4 linked regions of the Arabidopsis thaliana genome follow. The protein of the gene in region 1 interacts with the protein of each later gene in a biochemical or structural test. Each region holds a gene or a part of one and is shown in the gene's direction. Other genes may lie near its edges. The genes, in order: MPK6, HSF A4A, PHOS32 and AGB1.

Region 1 (6,205 bases):
TGGTTTATTTGCAAAATATTGATAAGACCCTATTTTATGACGGAATGAACCCGATACTATTCTTTTTGTCAAAATAACCCATCTCCTGCATGTTTTTTGGGCTGACAAATTGGGTTTCTTTTGATTGATTTTGACGGCGTAGTAACAGAAATTTATGGATAGCCACACCTTAGCTTAGACCAAACGTTTAGGTACAAAGAGTATGATAAAGTTGAGAACTTAAGACAATGTCAAGAACATCAAAACCATGTCCTGATCATACATTCTCTTGTTTAATCAATGTATTATAGATTGGACTGAGACTCAAACACAGATGCCACTCGATGTCAGAAACGAGCCACTTTCGTGACAAAAGAAGCTTGGAAAGCAAAGATAAATAACGGGTTTGGTTGGACATATCAAGCCAGTGAGGATTAGACCTTAGATGGAACCTTGGTGTCAGTGTCCACCTGTTTTTGGCCTTCGAACTTGTCTATAGCCACTTGAAGCTCGTCTGTGCCACCAACCGCCCTCATTGTGTAGAAGTATACCCCAAAAACAAAAGCTGTCAAGCCACCAGCTACAACCGTGTTCTTGCCTTTTGGGCCTAGGTAACTAAAACCTGGAAATCCCGCCATTACTTCAAAGTCTTTAACCTGCAAGATCCAATGTGTCACATGTTACAGAAGAGACCCAAGTATCAGAAGTATTAGATTATGTTATATCTTCAATATCACAGTTTCATAAATACTAAGATGAGGAATAACAAGAGAGAACTCTGAAGCATGATATAACAACTTTTGATTACTCTTTTTAACATTGCAGAAGTGACTCCAGAAGCCCTGAGGCATCGCAGGACATTGACATATTGTTCATATAGTGAAAAACAGATTACACAGATTGAATACGACGAATTTTCGAATTGTTATACTTATACCTCATCCTAAGAACTACTACGCCAAGAGTAAGTGATAGTACTCACAACGAGATCAAAGATGAGTACAATCATGGTATGAATGAACAACTGAAAGTTGCAAAACATTTCAGCAAAATAGAACTTTCTTCTGCATCATAATGGAAACGGAGAGAAAATCAATTGGTCACATTCATGCCCATCAGTCTAACATAATTGTCCACAAAATCAGCGCACTTCCCTTTAACGAGTCAATCAACCATAAATCATCAACCAAAGCAAAAATAAAGGCAATTAGAAACCTAACTCTACATCTATACATCCAAAGCTAACATCTTTTAAACGCAGGCTACTGTTACTCAACCAAAGTTCTCAAAACCAGATCAAAATGTCAAAATGAAAGGAGAGCAGAAAATATCAATCAAAAATTGGTTCTTTAAGCAAATTACTCCAAAGTCCACAAAATTAAAATGGAATCGAAAGGAACCTGGTGATGAAGGTTTGATGATCACTCGAAAATCCGAAAGATACAACAAAGCTGATATTTTTTTCTTCTACAGAGAATCGTGCCTAAATGCGACAGAAGCCTAAAGTTTCCCTATTTAGTTGACAACTGGTTCGGTGACGCTTAGTGTCGTGGCCACTTACCAATCTATCGAAAACCCTAAACCCAGTAAGAGCTCTCGTGTGAAAGAGGGATAGAGGCAGAAAGCAAGCCGTCTCGAGTTCGAACCCAACTGTATAACACAAGAGAAGAGATTTATTGCTTCATTATGTAAAAAATATTGAGATGATCCTTGTAATTTTGGAATATTATCAAATTGAACCACCATACTTTTTAAAAATCCAAATAACCCTCAACCAAGCATGTTTCATGTTGTGGCCTCATTCACACTATACGACTATCAAGTTCATCGAAATTCTTGATAGAGAACTTTAAATACTTAAATAGTTAATTTAGATACTATCTAATAACTTTTGGCGGTTTATAAGTTTTTGTGTTTTTCAATCTACATAAAATTTAGCGATTTTTCATGTTACAAAAATAATCTCAAAATTAAAGTACAACCCAAAAACATAATATCAATGATAATAACTACATTTATCTATGATTCATTTTCACCCAACATTTACATTCAAAAAAATGCTGTTGTTACTTGTTAATGATAACGATTAAGGAAGGAAGTCAATGGAACAAAAAAAAAAATGGTGATAAGTCAATGTAAAACGATGCCGTTTGTAACCATAACAGTGTTAAACATGAGAATAAAGGATCAAACTTTGAACAGTGGCTTGCTTGCTTGCTTACACACACGGGTCAAGTGAAGACCCAAAAAAAAATAAAAAAATTAATAGATCCGTACGCACATGACTTTCACTTCTTGTCTCTCAGATCTGTTTTGACCCCAAAACCAACGAATATCAATTTCTCCAATTTCATTCATAATTCACTCACCCCAAAATTACAAAAAAAAAAAAAAAAAAAGATTTTCCATTTCCCTCTTCTCGATCCACCACCACCACCAACCTCAAAAGCTTTCATCTTTACCGGTCATGGACGGTGGTTCAGGTCAACCGGCGGCTGATACAGAGATGACAGAAGCTCCTGGAGGTTTTCCCGCGGCGGCTCCATCGCCTCAGATGCCTGGGATTGAGAATATTCCGGCGACTCTTAGCCATGGTGGTAGGTTTATTCAGTATAACATATTTGGAAACATCTTCGAGGTCACCGCTAAGTATAAGCCTCCGATCATGCCTATTGGCAAGGGTGCTTATGGCATCGTTTGGTAATTTTTCTCCGATTCTTTTGATTTTTGGCTTTTGCTTCTAATTGAAATAAAAAATGATTTTTGTTGATTGGGTTTTGGTAAAGTTGGTTACTTTTGATCCGCAATTTGTAAAATTGATTCCTTTGTATCGTTTTTGAGCTCTAATTATGATTGGGATTTATTTTTGTTTCAATGAAAGCTTTATCCTTTTGTGGTTTTATTTGATTTTGATTTTGCAGTTCGGCTATGAATTCTGAAACTAACGAGAGCGTTGCGATTAAGAAAATTGCTAACGCTTTTGACAATAAGATTGATGCTAAGAGGACTCTCCGTGAGATCAAGCTGCTTCGTCACATGGATCATGAAAATGTCAGTTTTTGCTCTTTCTTTGTTAACTAAGAGTCATCTGTTTATAGAGTCTTATGTAGAACATAATAGGATTGTAGATTTAAATACACTCGAAACATGGTAACTACTAGCTGATGCAAAATTGTTTAGGTAAATAGATGATGTATATATTTGATTGATATTGTATGGGCTGATTAGGTTCTGTGTATGAATGTGTTGTATCTGGTGGTTGCTTATTGCATTTAGATTTAAGGGAATATACATGAATGTTGACACAGTGTGCTTGTATTTTTTTCGGTTTGATACGGATTGTTTCGCGCTTATTCAGTAGTATGATCTTTTCCATCTGCGTCAAGATTTTAAATTCTAGAAATCAAATCGTAAAATGTAACCGTTTATCTATGTTGGCGTTTGCAACGTGTAAAACATTTCCGATTGATAAAACACTTACCATCTTTCTGTTAAATCAGATTGTTGCAATCAGAGATATTATCCCGCCACCATTAAGAAACGCTTTCAACGATGTTTACATCGCGTATGAGTTAATGGACACTGATCTCCATCAAATCATTCGGTCAAATCAAGCATTATCCGAAGAACATTGCCAGGTTTTGAGTTTTGAGATTGTTTGTTGACCTATATAACTCGACTTGAAAACGGGGACTAATTGAACTCCATTTCACTTGTCTCTTTGTGCAGTATTTTCTTTACCAGATCCTCCGTGGATTGAAATACATTCACTCTGCAAATGTGCTTCACAGGGATTTGAAACCAAGTAATCTCCTCCTGAACGCAAACTGCGACCTAAAAATCTGCGATTTTGGGCTAGCTCGAGTCACTTCTGAGAGTGATTTCATGACTGAATATGTTGTCACGAGATGGTACCGTGCACCAGAGCTTCTCTTAAACTCTTCTGATTATACTGCAGCTATCGATGTTTGGTCTGTAGGCTGTATTTTCATGGAGTTAATGGACCGTAAGCCACTCTTCCCTGGACGAGATCATGTCCATCAGCTTCGCTTGCTCATGGAGGTAAGTAGTAACCCTTCTTTGACCCAAAAATAAGCTTTGAAGCACTAAAGAAACAGACCGAGACCATTTTCTTTTTGCAGCTCATAGGAACTCCATCAGAAGAAGAGCTCGAGTTCTTGAACGAAAACGCAAAGCGATACATAAGACAGCTTCCACCTTATCCTCGCCAATCCATCACTGATAAGTTCCCGACAGTGCATCCTTTAGCTATAGACCTTATCGAGAAGATGTTAACATTTGATCCTAGACGGAGAATCACAGGTTAGTCCCTAACCTCTATACCATTTTTAACTTGCAAAATAACTGGAATTGCTTGTACGGATCATTCCAAAATCCCGAAAAAAGATTCAATCTAGTGAAGGAATAATAATAATGAGTTCTTGGTTATTTAAGAGTTAGTTAGTAGTCATCACCTCTTATTGATTCTTGATTCTCGATTCTTGATTCAGTTTTAGACGCATTGGCCCATCCATACCTGAACTCGTTGCACGACATAAGCGATGAGCCAGAGTGTACAATACCTTTCAACTTTGATTTTGAAAACCATGCACTCTCAGAGGAGCAGATGAAGGAACTAATCTACCGCGAGGCGCTTGCTTTCAATCCAGAATATCAGCAATAGTTTGAAGAACAGCATTTGGGAGATGAAGATGAGATAAGGGTTTGGCGTTATTTGGTTTGGACAACATTCTTAAAAGGAGGAAAGATCATTGTTTGTCTTTTGTGTATACTTGTGAGAGATGTTGAAGGGGATGGGTCTCAAACTTTATATTTCAGTCTTTTGGATAATTTGTTCTCTCTGTTTTTTTTTTTCCTATTCGTATTTGTAATTTGCCCTCATTTTGTTGTTGCAGTTATTTAAGACTTAAATTGTCTCAGAAATAGTTATGTTATGATAGCCCACCTTCAATTCCTCTACAAAATACTTGCCATTACTGTCAGCTTTCTTGTTTTATAAAACAGCAGGGAGAGAAATATTGCAGGGAGATGAGGATAGTACAAATCATGTCCTCGGGGTGAAAATTGAGCATTTGATGAACACAATCTCAAGTCTTGCACTGTGTCAACTCTTAAGACTGCCAAAGAATTTTGATTGTGGTGCAGGACCATCAGCCTCATCTTTACTTTGGTTTTGAGTGTCTGCCTCTAGACTTGTGTTTCCTCTCCCTCTTTGGCCTCTTAGAACTTGACCTTGACTTCCTAGATTCGTCTTTGTCACTACTTGAAGATTCAGAAGATGAGCTTGAGTCTGATGATCGCCTTTTCGAATGCTGCAAATCAATAAACACAATGTAAGCTAAAAGCTTCAAGCCAACAGAATTATAGAAGATGTTCAAACTAAACTCGATGCAGTTGTTATGTAAGCACCTTTCTCTTTTTGCTTTTCTTCCTCTTGGAATCTCTGCACTTTCTATCTGTGAGCTCTCTCTCCTTCCTATCTGTAAGATCAAATGGCATATTAGAAAAGCAAGACTCGAACTGCGGATTGTATGACATTCCATCTGCTTAAATTTATTGTAAGTGTATACCTTTCCTGGATATGTCACTAGAATAGTTCCTTCCCTTAGAGAGCTTCATTGCCCTTTCAGCATCTAGCTGAGCTCTATACTCACGCATCAATTTATCGGTATCTGCTTCGACTTCTTGCTTTTTCAATTCTTCTTCCTAAAGAGCGGTCACATGAAGCATATAGAGTGAGAAACATTTCTTATCTGTCGATGCTCCTAAAAACATCGATTTATCGATCAGCAGCTATACCTTTTGCTTCTGCTTATATTCTTCCCAAGTAAGAGTGTGTGTAGTCTTGAGACTGGCCAAACGAGCTGCATGCCATTCTGGTGAATGAAATGAACCATCCATCTGCGACTCGCCTCATCAGAAATGTTTTGGTAACAAGATAATAAGCATAAACATAACAATCTAGCCAGATTAACATGACAGAGAGAGGAACAAAGTAGCCCTAAACAAAGAAACGTTTTAAAACGTGATATTTAGCGTTTTGTTGTTTTGTTAAGGATAATATTTAGCGTTTTGAAGTTCAGATGGATTTGTTTGGGCTATTTTCACCTATCCACTCTTGTAATAGTCTCTATATATCCCATGTTATCACGACGTCAATAACATTTTATGAACTTATATTCCATAGAAAAGAATACTTTGAACA
Region 2 (5,966 bases), on another chromosome or scaffold:
TAATAAAGCAGGAAAATCGAAATGCGACACAGTTTGTGTTTACATTTTGAGAATTCAAAGGTCAAGACTATCAAGCTGCTTTTATAATAACTTTTCTTTTGTGTCAAACACTATTTTTGTGTATAATAAAATCTAGCTTCTACAATAACTAATTTTATCATTTTACAACTTTATGCTTATTCAATGACAGCATTTTCCAACTACGGACTATCCACATCCAATAGAGACTATGAATAAAATCATGCTACACTTAATATATAAATTTAGCTAAACTAATTACGTAGTTAACTAAAATAACTGCGAGTCCAAAATACGTGGCAGAGATTGCGGCATCTACAAAATGTGACAGGTCACCTTTCGTGGGATCACAAAAAATCCAATCATGACCGTTAAATCGGGTGGGTCACGTGATGCTCTCGATCTGCTTGCCATCAACTTGTCATTGCTCGTGACTCCTTTGCTCTTTTTCATTAATTACTTTTTAGTCTTAAAGGCATCTCCAACCATAACACTATTTTGGTGCTGAAATAACACTATATTTGGTGTAGATTCAACACTAAAATATTTTCAATCTCCAACCACAACACTATATATCACACTAAAAATAATATTTTCTATTATTATATTATTAAACCAAATATTATTTTTAATATTTAATATTTTTAATTTATTGATTAATACAAATTACAATCTATATATCAAAATAGCTTTAAATTTTGTAAGTTTATATTTTCAATGGTTAATTGAATTTTATTATGTAATTTCAATAAATCTTTTGTTATAATTTTTATATCTTCTACTGATTAATATTTCATAATCATATTATCAAAATTAAAAATACATAAATAGTTTTGATATTTTTTTTTTTTACTTACAAAATTCAATTAAATTATTAGATGACAATACAAATCATATTTAATATGCTATACCTAAATAAGCTATATTCATATGTAATAATTTTAAAGTAAAAAAAAATATATATTTAATTTTACCGTTGCTACAGTAGCACGCCAAATATAGTGGAGTACTGTACAAAATAAAGGAATCACACTATTATAGTGTAATATTTACAGTTGGGTTGGAGTGAAAAAGTATATTGCATCACATCAAAATACAGTTTTACCGTTACGTTGGAGATGGCCTAAGTATAGTAATTAGAATAAGTATGCTTTTTTTGTGTGTGTGACAACAATTAGAATAAGTATGCTATTCTTTGACATTTATACCATCTGTTACCCAACCAATAAAAATATTCGTACCACTGCTAAATAGAACACATCTTTGATTCCAAGTTTCTTATAACGTACAACACAATTTGTGTGTTTGTCTACACATGCCTTTTATTATCCGACACTAATAAATATTTTGTAGTAGTACTATCCACATTCCACACTTGCCTTTATCTCTATATATTTGTGTAGTACTATCAACATTCCACACTTGCCTTATTCTCTCTATATATGGTGTACTTAAGTATATATATCAACTAACACACGTTGTGTAATATGTCTAATTTTGTGTTTATATGACTTCAATAACACTACAAGTTAACGAAGGACTCAATTCGTCCTACTCCGACCACAATAGTTGGGACCCAAATTAGTTGAAACAATATATTTCATCTTTATCAAAGTAATTTTTAAATTCCATGTAGAAGTTATTCACAACCAATAATAAACCACATTATATGTTACAAATTTTAACATTTTTATACGTATTTGCGATTACATGTAGGTTATCTACAATTTTTGGTTATCTATGATTTCTATAATGTAATTAGGTTATTGATCCTTTTTTTTTTACTGTGTCTTAGTCTTACTGGATGTGAATACTATAGCAGAATTAATTTTAATTTAAAACATTTTAAATTGATTTTTGGTATTGGAATATTGTAATATAGCGTTGACGGGGACAGTGAACTAAGCACATACGTGTGCATTTTTCTTTAAAGAAATATCAATATTGTGCAACGATCGAACCGGATTAATACCACAATGTTCTTTTACCTCAAACAGTAGTGAATTAATGTTGGACATGAATTTAGAAATCCCGTTTCAATAGCATTTGAATAAGCTAAGTAGTGATCTTACACTAACATATATTAATAAGCTAAGCACTTTAATATTTCAGGTTTGATCCGACTTTTTCTTGCACTAACGATACTGCCTTAATTCAATCTTTGTTTACGTATGCACATCAAAATTATTTAAAAAAAACATTCAGATGTTCGACAGAAAAAAAAACCCCAAAAGAAAAAACTAAAGGAGGCATGATATTTACCAAATGCCAAACACAATTGAATATCCTTCAAAACAAGACTTTTCGATTTCGTGTCCTCCAAATAAAAATCAAAGACTTTTCTTTAGTTTATAAACCCCAAAAAGAGATCAACAACGAATTTTCTTACGGCCATAAATGCTTCTACATTAACAAACAAACAAGATCTCTATGCTTATATTCATTGACTATTCACATTTTTATATAATTGAAAGAAATAAACTTTATGCCAAAAACAGCTCTATCATTATCTCATGGGGTGATTTTGATAATAATAAAATAATAAAACATTCCACCAAACCCAATCTTTGTAAAACTATGAAACAGCTGTTCTGTTCTGATTCGTACTTGCTTCATCAACCTTTTTGTAATCAAAAGCTAAATCGTATAATCACAAATCCCTCAGAAACTGTTCGTTTTTTGTTATCGTTTACGCGTTTTTAATCGCTAATCAGTTATATAAAAAATCGACGAAAGGTTTGACGAATCGTCGTCGTCGTAAATCCCCACCGGGTCAATCGACTCGTTTACTTTTCTACGGTCTTCTCTCCTCAAAGAGTCTCTCTCTCTCTCTCTGATATTTCCGCAGCAATAATGGTATAGATAGAGATACAGAAGCAGACAAATTATTGCTGCTTGAAATTCTCTTGTCTGATTAAAATATATATACCCAAGTCCAGAAGCTGTTTAGGTTCGAGAAGCAGAGAGGGTTCGAGAAGCTAATAAGGGTTTCTTCTTTTTGATTTTAATGCTAAAAGGGTTCTAGATTCGTTGAATTTTACAAGGGTTTTAGGGGTTCTTAGAAGCTTTTGCTTGATTGTCTTTTATTTAGAAACAGTGGTGAGTTTTTAGTCTTTCACTTTGTTCAAGTTCGAAGCTTTTTTTGGAGGGAATTTTGGGCTTCTGATTTTGATCGAAACTTACTGATAGTAAGTTCTTTGAGTCCTCCTTAACTGTAGTTTCTGTGTACTGAAGTTATTGAATTGAAAGTTTTTATCTTTTTTGGTTATTGAAACTTTCATAGTTTGATCAAAAGAGTCTCTTGCTCTGTTTTTGGCTCTGTTTTTGTGAGTGTGATTGTAAGCTTTGTTGTGAGTAGATTGAATCAAGGAGTGTGAGAGTTGTTAAAAGTGTTTTCAGAGATGGATGAGAATAATCATGGAGTTTCATCAAGCTCACTTCCACCTTTCCTCACCAAAACATATGAGATGGTTGATGATTCTTCATCCGATTCTATCGTCTCTTGGAGTCAGAGCAATAAGAGTTTCATCGTTTGGAATCCGCCGGAGTTTTCTAGAGATCTTCTTCCGAGATTCTTCAAGCACAATAACTTCTCTAGCTTTATCCGCCAGCTTAACACATATGTAAGTGTTTTCATGCTTTGTTTAAAAGTATTGACTAAATCAATCATCTTCTTAGTGGAATTTGTTTTTGTGTGTAGGGTTTTAGAAAAGCTGATCCTGAGCAATGGGAATTTGCGAATGATGATTTTGTGAGAGGTCAACCTCATCTTATGAAGAACATTCATAGACGCAAACCAGTTCATAGCCACTCTTTACCGAATCTTCAAGCTCAGTTAAACCCGTTGACGGATTCAGAACGAGTGAGAATGAATAATCAGATTGAGAGATTGACAAAAGAGAAAGAAGGATTGCTTGAAGAGTTACATAAACAAGACGAGGAACGAGAAGTGTTTGAGATGCAAGTGAAAGAACTTAAAGAACGATTACAACACATGGAGAAGCGTCAGAAAACAATGGTTTCGTTTGTTTCTCAAGTATTGGAAAAGCCAGGGCTTGCTTTGAACCTATCGCCGTGTGTTCCCGAAACAAACGAGAGGAAAAGAAGGTTCCCTAGGATCGAGTTCTTTCCCGATGAACCGATGTTGGAAGAGAACAAAACTTGTGTTGTTGTGAGAGAGGAAGGTTCTACAAGCCCTTCTTCACACACAAGAGAGCATCAAGTGGAACAGTTAGAGTCATCGATAGCGATTTGGGAGAATCTTGTATCGGATTCTTGTGAGAGTATGTTACAATCAAGAAGTATGATGACACTTGATGTGGATGAATCATCTACTTTTCCAGAGAGCCCTCCTCTTTCTTGCATACAGTTAAGTGTCGATTCACGTCTCAAATCTCCTCCTTCTCCAAGGATCATCGATATGAACTGTGAGCCCGATGGTTCGAAAGAACAGAACACTGTTGCTGCTCCTCCTCCTCCTCCAGTAGCAGGAGCGAATGATGGCTTCTGGCAGCAGTTTTTCTCAGAGAATCCTGGCTCAACCGAGCAACGGGAAGTTCAATTAGAGAGGAAAGACGATAAAGATAAAGCCGGAGTACGTACTGAGAAATGTTGGTGGAATTCGAGAAATGTTAATGCAATTACAGAACAGCTTGGACATCTGACTTCTTCAGAGAGAAGTTGATATGTCAAAGATTAAATTTCTAGTCTGTTTTAGTTACTTGTAAAATAGGGTTTCTCAGTTTTATTGTTTTCGATTACAGTACTTAGGTATGGTTCAGCTGTTTATTTATCACTTGTATGATCTTTCACAGTTCATTGTAGCAGACTTCAATGGTAATGATAAGCTAGAGCTTATGGATAGTATTCATAAAATGAGATTGACCTTCAACAAAATCATAATTTCCAAAGTCCTATATGATGTTGTAGACTTTTATCAGTATACCATTCAATAATTTATGAAGAACACGTCGGAAACAAACAAAGAAAAAAAAAGAAAAGTTACAAGAGACTTATAACGAGTACTATGCCAAATCAAAGAATAATTATTACATCCTTTTTAAGGGATTTTACAGAAAGCAGAAAGCCAAAGAAGCAACTGTTGCACAAACAAAAACATTAAACATAATCTCAAAGAAAACTAATAAATACAAACTTTAATGGTAATGACAAGCTAGAGCTTCTTATGGATATTATTCATAAAATAAGATTGACCTCCAACAAACTCATAATTTGCAGAGTCGAACCTCTTGTTCCTTTACTTCCTTGGCCTTCTTCATTTTCTTTCTCATATCCGACATTTCCTCAATTTGCAACTTAAACAATTCTCCTGCCTCCGCCATTTTTTTCTCTCTGGCATCCTGTTTACGTAGTTGATCATTCTTCTTTTTATCATTGCTTATAATGATTTCCACAAGGTGACGTTGACCCCGGACAAAATTATCATTTGCAAATTCCCATTTCTTTGGATTAATTTTTTTGAAACCCTATAGAAAAAAGAAGATTCAAAGTTAATAAGCAAAACAAAAACTAGCTAAAAGAATATGATTACATCTTACAAAACTAACATATAAGAAACTTACAAATATTTTAAGTTTATAGAAGAAAAAATGTATATGGAGGGTATTGAAGAGTCTACGAAGATGATCTTTGCAAAATTCTTGTGGATTCCAAATGATGAAACTCTTGCCACTTTGGCTCCATGAGATAATAGCATCCGATGAAGGATCGTCCACCATCTCATAGATTTTGGTGGGGAAAGGAAGTTTTGAGGTTGGATAACTGTTATGAGGTGGCAATTGATCCTGTACTTTTTTCACTAGTCGTGCAAATAATTTTTCTGCTTTAAACAATTCCATTCCTTGATCATATTGAACCTCCTGCTCTATTACATCACTTATAATGTTATTTATGAGGTGACGTTGACCTCGCACAAAATTATCATTCGC
Region 3 (6,322 bases), on another chromosome or scaffold:
ATATGAAAGCCAAACTTTCCTGAGACAGCATAGAACATTATGACCTTTAAGAAAATGAGAAAAGTTTCATCAAATGTGACTGCAAGGACCAATGTTGATTTCTAAGCTTGGGGATTATTTTCATACTTCTATGGAAGAAACAAAAGGGGCACATAAATCTCCATCAGAGACTTTATTAAAAAAGTATAAAATCTAACTACAAAAAGGAAGAAACAGGATTTTAAACCATTTTATTCATTTGCGTAGAAGTCACATGTCACTTTCCATTCACAAATTGAGAAGAGAGCTAACCTTCAGGATGAAAAAGTTACAAAAGTTCCATATTGGCATAAACCGCTGCTCACTGAGCTTGCGTATCTCATCCTCGTAGAATTGTGCGCGCCTATCCAAGGTATTCCTGATGCACTCGGTAATCTTTAATTCAAGGTCCTCCCAAAAATTTCCTTCAGGGCCATGTACATCCAGCTTACAGCACCTTAAAAGCATTGCAAAAATTATCATATGAAGACTATGTATGGCATGCATAAATGAAGTAAAACTGATCAAGTAAATAAAAAGGTGTTTTAGCGTTTATCCCGTCTGCATTTCCATAAGTATATAACTTAAAGATAACTTCCTTTAAATGAGTGATTACTGCTAAATGGGTTTAGTTTATGCATCTAGCAAAAATATGAGTGATTGCAATCGTGCAAACTGTTTAACCTAATCTATTTATGTTAGAACTATAGTAGGAGCAATCAAGTCTCATTAGGAATCTGGCATGGTATTTTTTCGGTTCGTGCCTGCTTGTATCAGAGCAAAAAAACATAAACACAGTCCAATCTGCATAGCTTACCTTTCTCTCTTTTTTGAACTGAAGTCAACTTCAAGCTTCGCATATACTTTCTTGACATTTTTAGTTGCTTGATCATTACTTGGATGAGCTTTAGATACAAATACAATAAACCATTCCCTCTCATCATTCTGAACAATTAATTTCAGACGTGGTTTGAGAATGTTTTTAAACTCATCAAGATCCTGCAAGGTCAAAGGTATACTCAGAAAAGCTAGAAGAACAAAAATTGTCGAACCACATAAGTGATAAATCTAACCTAATCCAGAAACCATATACATTAGAAACGGTACCTACTATCTAAACATAGGTTCTTATCTCTTATAGAAAAGGAAAACAGAAACGAATATCATCAAGCACATCATCTTTGTTTCATATTTTGGCACGTGACTACTCTCCACTGCCAAGATTGATACAGAAAAAAAAAACACATATCATCATATCAACAAGCAAGTACCTCACATGTGACAAGAACTATAGTTGCGTATGGTTCTCGAAACCAGAACAAATACTGCTCCTGCGGGAATCGACTACGAAGCCTCGCGTCTGTAGTTAATATGAATTCAACCGGCAAGTTCTCAACAAAAACCGGATTTCGAGTCTTGTTAGTCAAGAATGCTCTTTTTAATGGCTGATGTTCTTCAAATAAACCTTTCACTGTAGGCCACAGATCACACACATCTTCCACTGTAAAAGAATATGCAAGCAACCACTATTACAACGAGCAACGGGAACAATATAAAGAGAAGACATCTTAATACTAACGAACAAGTAGAGTTTAAGATCAGAAACAAAAGAAATCATCATGATCAGTTCCCTTCAGGAATGGATGCTCATTTCTAAGCACTTTTAGCTTCATTCATGAGTATAACCTGACCAACCAACAACCTAACAGATTCATATCATCTGATTTGATCCTTCACCTACATTGAGAAACTTTCCACTAATATATAGCTATGACATCGCAAAATGTGGCAGAAAAAAAAAAGGAGAAATAAGATCCTAATCGAATGCAGCAATCGTAGAGAAACAAAACCCCTAGAAATGTACACATTTGAAAAAAATTGGGGAGAAATTCACCGGCGGCGACGAGACGATCGCAGGAATTCTTAATCGTCTGGAACTGAGCCAAGTAGTTCGCCATCTGAGTCACCGATCTATACGAATCATACGAATAACTCGATCGAATTATACAAAGAGATCAGAATTTGAGTGAGGTTTCGTCTTCTAGCTGCCAGAAAAGGAAGTGGAGGAAATCACCGACGCCGGAGATCTAGTGAATCGTCTTCTTCAAAACTATGGCGCTCAGATTTGATCCTGACCGTTGGATCACTCCTTCTATTAACTACATCTATATTAGAATGCTTGTCGTCTTTGTATATAAATAACGGCATGCAGTCTAATGTTCTATTAAAAAAACAAAAACAACGCTTCTTTCTTCTCCGTTAAGAGAAACCTCCCTCACTCCCACTTTCCGACGAACAAAAACAACATCTGAAAAAAATCATGAATCCAGCAGATTCCGATCATCCACAGCTTCCAAACATCAAGATCCATCACCCTCCATCTCCACGTCACTCTCACCATCACCACTCCTCATCTACTCCCTCCTCCGCCGCAACTCCAACACCAACCGCCGGAGCTCGTCGTAAAATCGGAGTCGCAGTTGATCTCTCCGAAGAAAGCTCTTTCGCCGTTCGTTGGGCTGTAGATCACTACATCCGTCCCGGAGACGCCGTTGTTCTTCTCCACGTTTCTCCAACCTCCGTCCTCTTCGGTGCCGATTGGGGACCTCTCCCTCTGAAAACTCAAATTGAAGATCCAAACGCTCAACCTCAACCTAGTCAAGAGGATTTTGATGCTTTTACTTCAACAAAAGTTGCGGATCTAGCTAAACCGTTGAAGGAGTTAGGGTTTCCTTATAAGATCCATATAGTGAAAGATCATGATATGAGAGAGAGATTATGTCTTGAGATTGAGAGGCTTGGTCTTAGTGCTGTGATTATGGGAAGTAGAGGTTTTGGTGCTGAGAAAAAAAGAGGAAGTGATGGCAAGCTTGGCTCTGTTAGTGATTACTGTGTTCATCACTGTGTTTGTCCTGTTGTTGTGGTTAGATATCCTGATGATCGTGATGGACCTGTGCCTATTGTTACTGTCAAGTCTGGTGGAGATGATGATGGAGATGTTGTTGCTGCTTCTGCTTCTGCTCATCATGAACACATCAAAGGTCAGGGATCAATTATCTCTATCTCTATGTGATTCAGTGATTGATTAGATAAGCTGCTTTCGTTGTTATTTTTTTCATGGATGTTTCTGTTGATGTGTCAGATTTAGATTCAGTAGTGTAGTGAGTGTTGTGAATTTTGTGATCACGTGAATATGTTGTGAAAAAGATTGCCATAGATGGTAGCACAGGAAAATGAGATCCTTTTATAGCTGAACTAAGATGATTTTGTCGATTTAGTGAGAAATGCTGTCCATGTTCATTGCCTTGCTTACCCGAAAATTGAGGATGATGGTCATGTACATAGATGATTTCCTAGCTTTAGTGTATTCGTTCTATGAATTTGTATATATCTTCTTCATCTGCCGAAACTGTTTCTATTTACTGAAGTTAGTTGTATAGTATATATCATAATTTTTGGTGGTTATGGCTAATTTGCTGTAATATATGTTAGAAGATTATTGTTCCCCTACACATGGGACAAAGAAGCGCCGACATCGTTCTATTTCTTGCATTGTTTACACTACCCATTGATTGCGTTTAGACTTTAGATTAAAAGTACTCTAGTCCAGAGGAAAGTTTCTTTTGACCCTTGAAGATAAACTTTTCTAAGTGAGTTTGTTTGATTTATTTTTCCTCTGTTCGGTTTAGTTTGAGGCAACATTAAGTATCATTAGCATCCAAGTATTATGATTCTTGACTTGGGAAAAGGCAGATAAGAAATTATGTCTTCTATAACCCCTCATTTCGTAAGTTGGTGACTGTATACTTGTTGTTGTATGAAACATTGAAAATCAAATAGTGCAGTAGTTCTAAAAAGGAAGCTTCAATTATACTTTTTGTTGTTGTTTGCTTTGGTCCAGACTAGGAAAGGTTACAATGTTAACAGAGGAAAATTTAGGAAAGAATGGGAATATGTAGGAAGAATCTGGTTAACATGCCAAAATTTTTTTTATCTATACTCTTGGGTAATGTTTAGATATCAAATCTAACTGAGATGTAGGCACTACCTTCTTACTTTTATGACAAGTTCAGATGAAAACTTGTCAAATAAAGTTACTGAGTTTCGTAGATTGCTTCTTCTGTAAGATAGTCACTGGTGTTAGTTCTGGAGCATTTGGTATACGTTACAAGATCGGAGCTACCTAGTGAATTTGTAAAAAGATCTGAATGTACACTGATAAGGTAAAAAGGCTATTATCTATAGGTTACATTTGTTATCTCCACCATACTGCATCACGACTAGCAATGTATAATCTGCATGATATTTTAAGTGATCCCTCTCTGTGTATCTTCGAACAGTGAAATGTGTGTTGTGAATAAAGTGTTATTCCAGTAGATATATCTATGATCTGACCAAATGACAATGTCTTATTCCTTTTTTGTTCCTGTATTTCTGTCACAGATGAGTGATGATTCGTGGGATCTAAGTAATATATCACCCTCTTCTCTTCTAGGTAATATAAAACTCACATCAACGATATCTGTAAGCTTATATGGTCTACCTGTCTCTTGATTATCTTCTTCATGTTTTTGGAATTAATAAGGTACACAAAGCAAGTAGGGGTGTTAGCGGAATGTTCAGAGGAGTGTTGAATGTGTGTTCTTTCTTTAGCTATGACAATGTTGATGAATTTCTTTGGGTTATGTAATATGAATGAGTGTTGAGTGGTTTCTGCATTAAACATGAAGGAGTTGTATGATTAATGAACCCCTTTTAGGAAGAAGAAGGATTATACGTTTCTTTAATAAAGACTGGTATTTTAGAATTTAGTTACATGGTAACATCAAATAAAGATTTGGTTGATTTATGGTTTTGGTTTGACTTGTTGGAATTTAGGTAAATCTAAGGATTGAAGTTATGAAAGATGGATTTCTCCAAAAGAAAAAGAAAAATGAAACAACCAAAGAAACAAAAATGTTTGGTAATTCGTAAAACTTGTTTGGTTATTAGGTCTAATTTCTTTTGCAAATTTAGAGTAGATGACTATAATTATCGGATTTTACATCTTTTCACGCGGCGGATATGTACAAGAAATTTCTTCCTTTTACATCATTTTTTTTTTTTTGGATTCAGTGTTTGTTTAATCAGAAACAGGGCATGAATATACGGAAAACCATATGACAAATATACCTATAGATCTCACATATAATACAACGCTAAATTCACAAACAATTTAACTTGATTTGACAAACAAGTTCAACTGTGAGAGGCACGGATCAAACAATGGACATCAAATCTGTCCCTTCAGTTCTCAGTAGTCCTATTTTGATTAATCCTAATGCTCTTTGGTACAAATCTATATTCTTGCAAATGTAATGTTCCTTTGAGTATCTAGTTTAGACTGATACACAGACAAGAATAATGGACTTCTACATCACAAACACTAGACAGTCAGATAAACTCACATTCCAAGAGGTGAAATGGTCACACTAACCTCTATGTACTTATAGCAAGTCTTCCTAACATGACACGGTCCAAATTTCAGTATCCCCATTCTTGAAAACACCTAGTTTTGGCTTCAAAGCACTTTAACTAAAACCACTGGGTCGCGAAAACTATAGATTCTAGAAGAGAAAGCTGAAACAGCCTCTTAGAAATCCAAGCATTGGCTGGGAAAATACAATACAAGAACTTGACAAACTCAATGAGACAATTGGCTTGAGATGTTAACACCAACGAGAATGGTTTGACATGAGGGAACAAAAAAAACGCATAAATAGCATACAAGTCATTAGCTAATGTAATGGTTTGACATGAGGGAACAAACAAACGCATAAACAGCATACACGTCATTAGCTAATTAATTTAAGAACCGGTACATAGTTAACATGTTGTAACAGTGGAATATAGTGTACTACTACTAGTCTATTGCTTGGCGAGATTGAGATGGAACTAGTCTAGTTTTTGAGGTGGGATGTGGGCTGGTGCACCGAAATAACCAAATCCACCATTCATGGAGTAATCAGACAGATCGACAGTAACGTTTTCGTTAACATCCAAGAGCTCAACGAAGTTAGAGAACATGCCGGGAAAGGAGCTAGCCGGGACACAGAAAGGTTCAGACCTTGAGATGAAAATGTAGAGATCCCCAATGTCTTGAGTGTAAAAAGCGTTTCCTTCTTCATCAAGTTTGAACACCATTACAGCTTTTGTTTGCATTCTCACCATACCACTTAACCAAAACGGTTTTGTAGTGATAGTCTTGGGGCAAGTTGGAAACAAAATTCCGAGATTTTAATTTGTACTCCCTTGTAGAGACTGG
Region 4 (5,988 bases), on another chromosome or scaffold:
TGGCCTTGCCAAGAGTAGCAGCAGTAGTCAGGTTAGATACTAGAAGTTGTGGTTTTTATTTAGGGAAAGTAATTTATTATAACATGTAAACGCAAATGCAGATAAATAACAATGTTTTAATTTGTGAGGTTATGTTTTGATCATAAAATTAGACACCATCAGGAAAAGTGACATCGTCGGGGTGGTGTGTACCAAAGAAGGGTGCAACGAATGAGGAGTTACAAGCGAGCTTGGATTGGGCGTGCGGACATGGAATAGACTGTGGTGCGATACAACCAGGAGGGGCTTGTTTCGAGCCGAACAATGTGGTCTCTCACGCAGCATATGCCATGAATATGTATTTTCAGAAATCTCCTAAGCAGCCTACAGACTGCGATTTCTCTAAAACCGCAACAGTCACTTCCCAAAACCCTAGTAAGATTTCTCTCCCCGTTACTTTCACACCCTACCAATAGTAGTTTCAACTTAGTAACTTAGTATAAAAAGTTGTAACAAAGACTTAGTAATTGCTTTTGTTTGTTGAAGGTAATGATCAATTCTCTTCTACTATGTTTTATTGTAGCTAGGCCTTGTAAATGCTTTAATTGACCAAATAATCGGTTTTCTACATGCTTTATTATACTAATTGGGTTTCTTAATTATCTTGAATCTGAATTTGATAGGTTACAACAATTGCGTATATCCGGGAGGAGGAGGAGGAGGAGGAGGAGGAGGAGGAGGAAGTAAAGCAGTAATGAACAAGTATGTGAGCTCAGACAAAGTAGAGAAGAAGAATGGAGCAACTGAACCAAAAGTCTCTTCTTCTCTATCTTTTCTACTCATCTTTTTGTCCCTTATCTTCCATGTATATATGTAAATGGCTCAATTAGCTCTTGGAGGTAAGTAATTAATTAATTACGCCTACTTGTTAATCTCCTCTCCTTCCTCTGTATTAAGTGTAATCGAGTTTGTTATTAGTTTATAATGGTTACACACATTCTATCTCAATTGTATTATATAGTCTGTAACGGCTATATCTACTAGACTTCTTTTGGTTTCTTATAAATGAATCTGAATATTATCTTTGGATAAAGTTTCCTATATTCCAATGTATATCTATATCCCTCTTAAATTGTTACATTTTACGCCGTACCTTTATAATTGGGCCTATTGTAAATTTAAACCGGTTTAGCTGGTTCACTTTACTGAATTTACATTTTCTGAAAATAAGGATTTGAGCCGAACCTACAACAAAAAAATGAAAATTTGACCCGGTTTATTTTGGTTTACTCATCTGAAATTACCTTTTATGAAAAGGAGTCGACAAATAATTTACTTATTTTCTTCGGTTAAGGAAAATAACTATTTCCTTCTTAAAAAAGGAATGGTTGATCTCACCGACTCTAGCTAGGGCTTATAAATACAAAGACGCATAGGGTTTCACAACTTCATCACCTTAACACAATTTGTTCGCTCTCTAAATTCTTAAATCTTTCATCAAATTTGCTTCACAGTGAAAAACCTCCTCCACAAGGAACACACAATGTCTTCGAAGATGATCGTGTTGATGAGCTCCGATGGTCAGTCGTTTGAGGTGGAAGAAGCGGTAGCAATCCAATCGCAGACCATAGCGCATATGGTTGAAGACGATTGCGTTGCTGATGGAATCCCTCTTGCAAACGTGGAAAGCAAGATTCTTGTGAAAGTGATCGAGTACTGCAAGAAATACCACGTCGACGAGGCTAATCCTATCTCTGAAGAGGATCTCAACAAGTGGGACGAGAAGTTCATGGATCTCGAACAATCCACCATCTTTGAACTCATCCTTGCTGCGAATTACCTCAACATAAAAAGCTTGTTTGATCTCACATGCCAAACTGTTGCGGACATGATCAAAGGCAAGACTCCAGAGGAGATTCGTTCAACTTTCAACATTGAGAATGATTTTACACCTGAGGAAGAAGAAGCTGTTCGTAAGGAGAATCAATGGGCTTTTGAATGAGCCCATGAATCAAAAACCTAACTAGCTTTCTTTTTCTTTTTTCCTTTTAGTGTTCTTTTTTTTTTTTGCAACTTCTTGATCAATAATGTAGATGATGATCACTTCGTCTACTTTTTAAAATTTTTTTTTTTGATTTGTATTCTCTTGAGATAATCTTTTGTTGGATATTGATATGCTTAACCAATGTGTTTTTATTTTATTTTCTCTTGAGACAATCTTAATTTTATTGGATTATTGATGTTCTTGTAGCCAATTCAGAAAAACAGAATCTATTAGACAAATTAAATTCACGTAGCAAAATAACTAACATGTTTTCTCTTTTCTTGTACTGTAAATTACGTTTCTTAAAAAGAAATATGTAGTTAAAAATCCTTCAAATTCATTATATTGAATCGAAAATCTCGTCCAAAACCAAAAACAATCATAGCTCTTAAACGATATCGTTTAATCATTGTGAGAGGGTCCACTTTAATGGGAACAGTCAATGTCTATTGACCCTCTTCTCTCTCTCTAGCTAGTCTCAGGTCAGAGAAGCCATCATCAACATTCAACAAGAGAGCCGTGTTTGTGTCTTGACTGATTCTTCTCTCAAGCTTTTTTAATCTCTCTCTCTTTTCCCACGTAATTCCCCCAAATCCATTCTTTCTAGGGTTCGATCTCCCTCTCTCAATCATGAACCTTCTTCTCTTCTAGACCCCACAAAGTTTCCCCCTTTTATTTGATCGGCGACGGAGAAGCCTAAGTCTGATCCCGGAATGTCTGTCTCCGAGCTCAAAGAACGCCACGCCGTCGCTACGGAGACCGTTAATAACCTCCGTGACCAGCTTAGACAGAGACGCCTCCAGCTCCTCGATACCGATGGTTTGTGGATTCCTTTTCGTCTCTCTTCTTCTCTCATCTTCTTCTTCTTTAATTTGGATTGAATTTTGCCAGTGGCGAGGTATTCAGCGGCGCAAGGACGTACTCGGGTGAGCTTCGGAGCAACGGATCTGGTTTGTTGTCGTACTCTTCAGGGACACACCGGAAAGGTGACTCAAAGTTTGCATCTTTATCCTTCAAGCATGCTTCTTTGTGGAGTGTTTTCTAGCCTGTGATAAAAAGCTTCCATTTTGGGGTTGTATCTAGTTTGTTATTTAGTTGGTGGTGTTTATAAGATGTTACCAGTTATCATGTATGAGGATTTGCTTAAGATCCTACGGAAATGTAGAGACAGGAGAGTTGATTGTGAATGTTAGCTTGTTGTTGATTTAACATGTGGGATTTGCAGGTTTATTCATTAGATTGGACACCGGAGAGGAACCGGATTGTCAGTGCATCTCAAGATGGGAGATTAATCGTGTGGAATGCTCTAACGAGTCAGAAAACTCATGCTATTAAACTCCCTTGTGCATGGGTTATGACATGTGCTTTCTCTCCAAATGGTCAGTCGGTTGCGTGTGGTGGATTAGACAGTGTATGTTCTATCTTTAGCCTTAGCTCAACGGCGGACAAGGATGGAACTGTACCGGTTTCAAGAATGCTCACTGGTCACAGGGGATATGTTTCGTGCTGTCAGTATGTCCCAAATGAGGATGCCCACCTTATCACCAGTTCAGGTGATCAAACTTGTATCTTATGGGATGTAACTACTGGTCTCAAAACTTCTGTTTTTGGCGGTGAATTTCAGTCTGGACATACTGCTGATGTACTAAGGTATGGATATTGCTTTCATCTCCTTGGCTCATTGGCATCAGTTTGTTTGATAAAGTAGAATATATTTGAAAAACTACTTAATCTTCCAGAACCATACCATTTGGATCGAGTGTTGGAATCAACATATAGGTTTGGTCTTATTGAATAGATACGTTTATTTGACTTGTGTATAAAAGCTAGCATGGATGATATATTGCAAGTCAGTTAAACTCGCCCTCTTACTTGGTGATTATTCCCCATTCTTGCAGCGTCTCAATCAGTGGATCAAACCCAAACTGGTTTATATCTGGTTCATGCGATTCCACAGCACGGTTGTGGGACACTCGTGCTGCAAGCCGAGCAGTGCGTACCTTTCATGGTCACGAGGGAGATGTTAATACGGTCAAGTTCTTTCCGGATGGGTATAGATTTGGGACTGGATCAGACGATGGAACATGCAGGCTGTATGACATAAGGACTGGTCACCAACTCCAGGTCTATCAGCCACATGGTGATGGTGAGAACGGACCTGTCACCTCCATTGCATTCTCTGTGTCAGGGAGACTTCTTTTCGCTGGCTATGCGAGCAACAACACTTGCTACGTTTGGGATACCCTCTTGGGAGAGGTAAGCAATTAGTATTTGAGTAATGAGTGGTGAGAGTTGTTTTCGCTCATGTAAGGTTTATGATTGAAACGTGAGGAGTTTTCTTGCAGGTTGTATTGGATTTGGGATTACAGCAGGATTCACACAGGAATAGAATAAGCTGTTTGGGGTTGTCAGCAGATGGAAGTGCCTTGTGTACAGGAAGTTGGGATTCAAATCTAAAGGTTAGTACTTAGTAGTGTCTCTGCTTATCATTTACCATGTTATGTTTGTAAGGAAATTAGAGGATAGATGAAATTTCGTTGAATTCACACAGATATGGGCGTTTGGAGGACACAGGAGAGTGATTTGAAGAAGATTTAACGAAAGTAGGAGTCACGTCTCCAGTTGTTGGTTAATATATTCTGTAGTCGGGAAGTAAGGTTCGGTTTGTGGAAGGTGTTTGGTTTGAAATAGTGGAGTGGTTAGAAGAATTAAACTTCCCTTTTTGTAGTGTGCTTTGATTTATTTATTTCTTCATTGGGAACTAAACTCCTTCAACACGCTACTCAATGTGAATTCTGTAATCAATTGTGTACCCACCAGTCTTTACTTTACTATCATCTCTTCATATTGAACGCAGACGATAAAACGCTACTATTTTTGAGTTTCTAACTTATGGAGAAAGCCTAGCCTGTTGTACGGTACGGTAGTGGTTTTCAAATCCGAGCAAGATGATCTGTAGATTCCCAACTTGGCGAGAAAACGGGTAATAATAAAATTCAGAAATGAGAAATCAAAAAGCACCGTCATAAAATAAAAAGAAAACCTCCATAGTGTATTTGACAGTAATAATGCAAGGAAAAAAGAAAGAAAGTAATACTATGCTATTTATAATAGTTGATGTATTTTTGAGGTTTAGCAGCAGGAATAGATGACATTCTCTGATACTGAAGAAACGCAAGAGGTTTTAGCCGCTGGCAACAATCTCGTGAATGGCCTCGGCGACAGAAACGTCTTCAGCTCTAACTGTCAGCTTCATTGCAATGTCCTTTGAGCTGTCCATTCCAAACTGTGCCCTCACTAACACTTTCACGTTGCCTATGTACACACCTGACAATAGACACGTGTGTGACCTTGCATTGAGCGGAATTGTCTCCGTCCCCTGTTATTTATCCAGTGTCAGTTTCAATTTCAGGAACACAACAAATGGTCATATACTCAAAAAAGACTTTATCAACAATAATTTTAGCCCTCAAGTCTCAGTAGAGTATGAGAAAAAAGTGGAAGAGACTAACCTCACAAGTCTGCATGCCAAGAAGATCCATGACAGCCTTTACAGCTTCTCCCAAACTCTCTCTTTGGCCAAGGCCATATTCGTCTACACGCTCATCTTCTTCATCCATGCTTTCCCACGCATTCCTGAAATTGGAGACACCCACTTTCACCATGTAATCTCCAGCTACAACCTCAAGATCCTCTAGCTGGTACTCATCTTCTACTCCATCATCTTCTGCTTCACCTGTGCTTGGGTCAACCTGTTTTAACACATTCATAAAAGCACAAACAATGTAGTTAGAGAGTTTTCTTTGTTTTCTGTGATTAATTTGAGTCGTTCTGGTACTCCTCTCCAAATGAGTCGTTGTTTATAAGAGTTCTCCACAAAGTATTATGGGGTCATTTTCAGTGTAAGTAAATAAAAAGATGGAAGTGAATAGCCTATTTAACATGTACCTCCTTAACAACGAAAG

The links.
Region 2: of the proteins of MPK6 (region 1) and HSF A4A, one has a biochemical effect on the other in vitro, tested with the Arabidopsis thaliana proteins (one study listed by BioGRID).
Region 3: of the proteins of MPK6 (region 1) and PHOS32, one has a biochemical effect on the other in vitro, tested with the Arabidopsis thaliana proteins (one study listed by BioGRID).
Region 4: the proteins of MPK6 (region 1) and AGB1 form a complex in vitro, tested with the Arabidopsis thaliana proteins (one study listed by BioGRID).

What each region holds. Positions count from the first base shown.
Region 1 is NC_003071.7:18,136,031-18,142,235, forward strand, and holds MPK6 (MAP kinase 6), read left to right. Parts: upstream 1-2,215; 5' UTR 2,216-2,446; coding exon 2,447-2,679; exon of another isoform or gene 2,680-2,900; coding exon 2,901-3,030; intron 3,031-3,479; coding exon 3,480-3,617; intron 3,618-3,708; coding exon 3,709-4,041; intron 4,042-4,121; coding exon 4,122-4,302; intron 4,303-4,490; coding exon 4,491-4,663; 3' UTR 4,664-4,958; downstream 4,959-6,205. Other genes in the region: AT2G43780 (cytochrome oxidase assembly protein), read right to left, coding at 414-635, 962-1,021; AT2G43795 (corepressor), read right to left, coding at 5,105-5,312, 5,410-5,476, 5,571-5,706, 5,800-5,901. UniProt on the Arabidopsis thaliana protein: Mitogen-activated protein kinase (MAPK) which regulates abscisic acid (ABA) responses in a MAPKKK20-MKK5-MPK6 cascade involved in root growth (e.g. root cell division and elongation) and stomatal response.
Region 2 is NC_003075.7:10,346,505-10,352,470, reverse strand, and holds HSF A4A (heat shock transcription factor A4A), read left to right. Parts: upstream 1-2,568; 5' UTR 2,569-3,419; coding exon 3,420-3,641; intron 3,642-3,718; coding exon 3,719-4,702; 3' UTR 4,703-4,992; downstream 4,993-5,966. Other genes in the region: AT4G18870 (E2F/DP family winged-helix DNA-binding domain-containing protein), read right to left, coding at 5,244-5,504, 5,601-5,966. UniProt on the Arabidopsis thaliana protein: Transcriptional activator that specifically binds DNA sequence 5'-AGAAnnTTCT-3' known as heat shock promoter elements (HSE).
Region 3 is NC_003076.8:22,095,710-22,102,031, reverse strand, and holds PHOS32 (Adenine nucleotide alpha hydrolases-like superfamily protein), read left to right. Parts: upstream 1-2,180; 5' UTR 2,181-2,338; coding exon 2,339-3,059; coding exon of another isoform or gene 3,060-3,091; exon of another isoform or gene 3,092-4,149; coding exon 4,150-4,205; 3' UTR 4,206-4,461; coding exon of another isoform or gene 4,462-4,469; 3' UTR 4,470-4,513; intron 4,514-4,603; 3' UTR 4,604-5,112; downstream 5,113-6,322. Other genes in the region: CLUB, read right to left, coding at 1-19, 292-475, 836-1,017, 1,290-1,519, 1,913-1,976; AT5G54420 (hypothetical protein (DUF295)), read right to left, coding at 5,953-6,228.
Region 4 is NC_003075.7:16,476,015-16,482,002, reverse strand, and holds AGB1 (GTP binding protein beta 1), read left to right. Parts: upstream 1-2,382; 5' UTR 2,383-2,736; coding exon 2,737-2,842; intron 2,843-2,914; coding exon 2,915-3,009; exon of another isoform or gene 3,010-3,233; coding exon of another isoform or gene 3,234-3,248; coding exon 3,249-3,673; intron 3,674-3,921; coding exon 3,922-4,279; intron 4,280-4,357; coding exon of another isoform or gene 4,358-4,368; coding exon 4,369-4,482; intron 4,483-4,574; coding exon 4,575-4,610; 3' UTR 4,611-4,972; downstream 4,973-5,988. Other genes in the region: AT4G34480 (O-Glycosyl hydrolases family 17 protein), read left to right, coding at 1-31, 153-414, 663-856; SK12 (SKP1-like 12), read left to right, coding at 1,523-1,981; AT4G34450 (coatomer gamma-2 subunit, putative / gamma-2 coat protein, putative / gamma-2 COP), read right to left, coding at 5,208-5,402, 5,536-5,775, 5,972-5,988. UniProt on the Arabidopsis thaliana protein: Guanine nucleotide-binding proteins (G proteins) are involved as a modulator or transducer in various transmembrane signaling systems.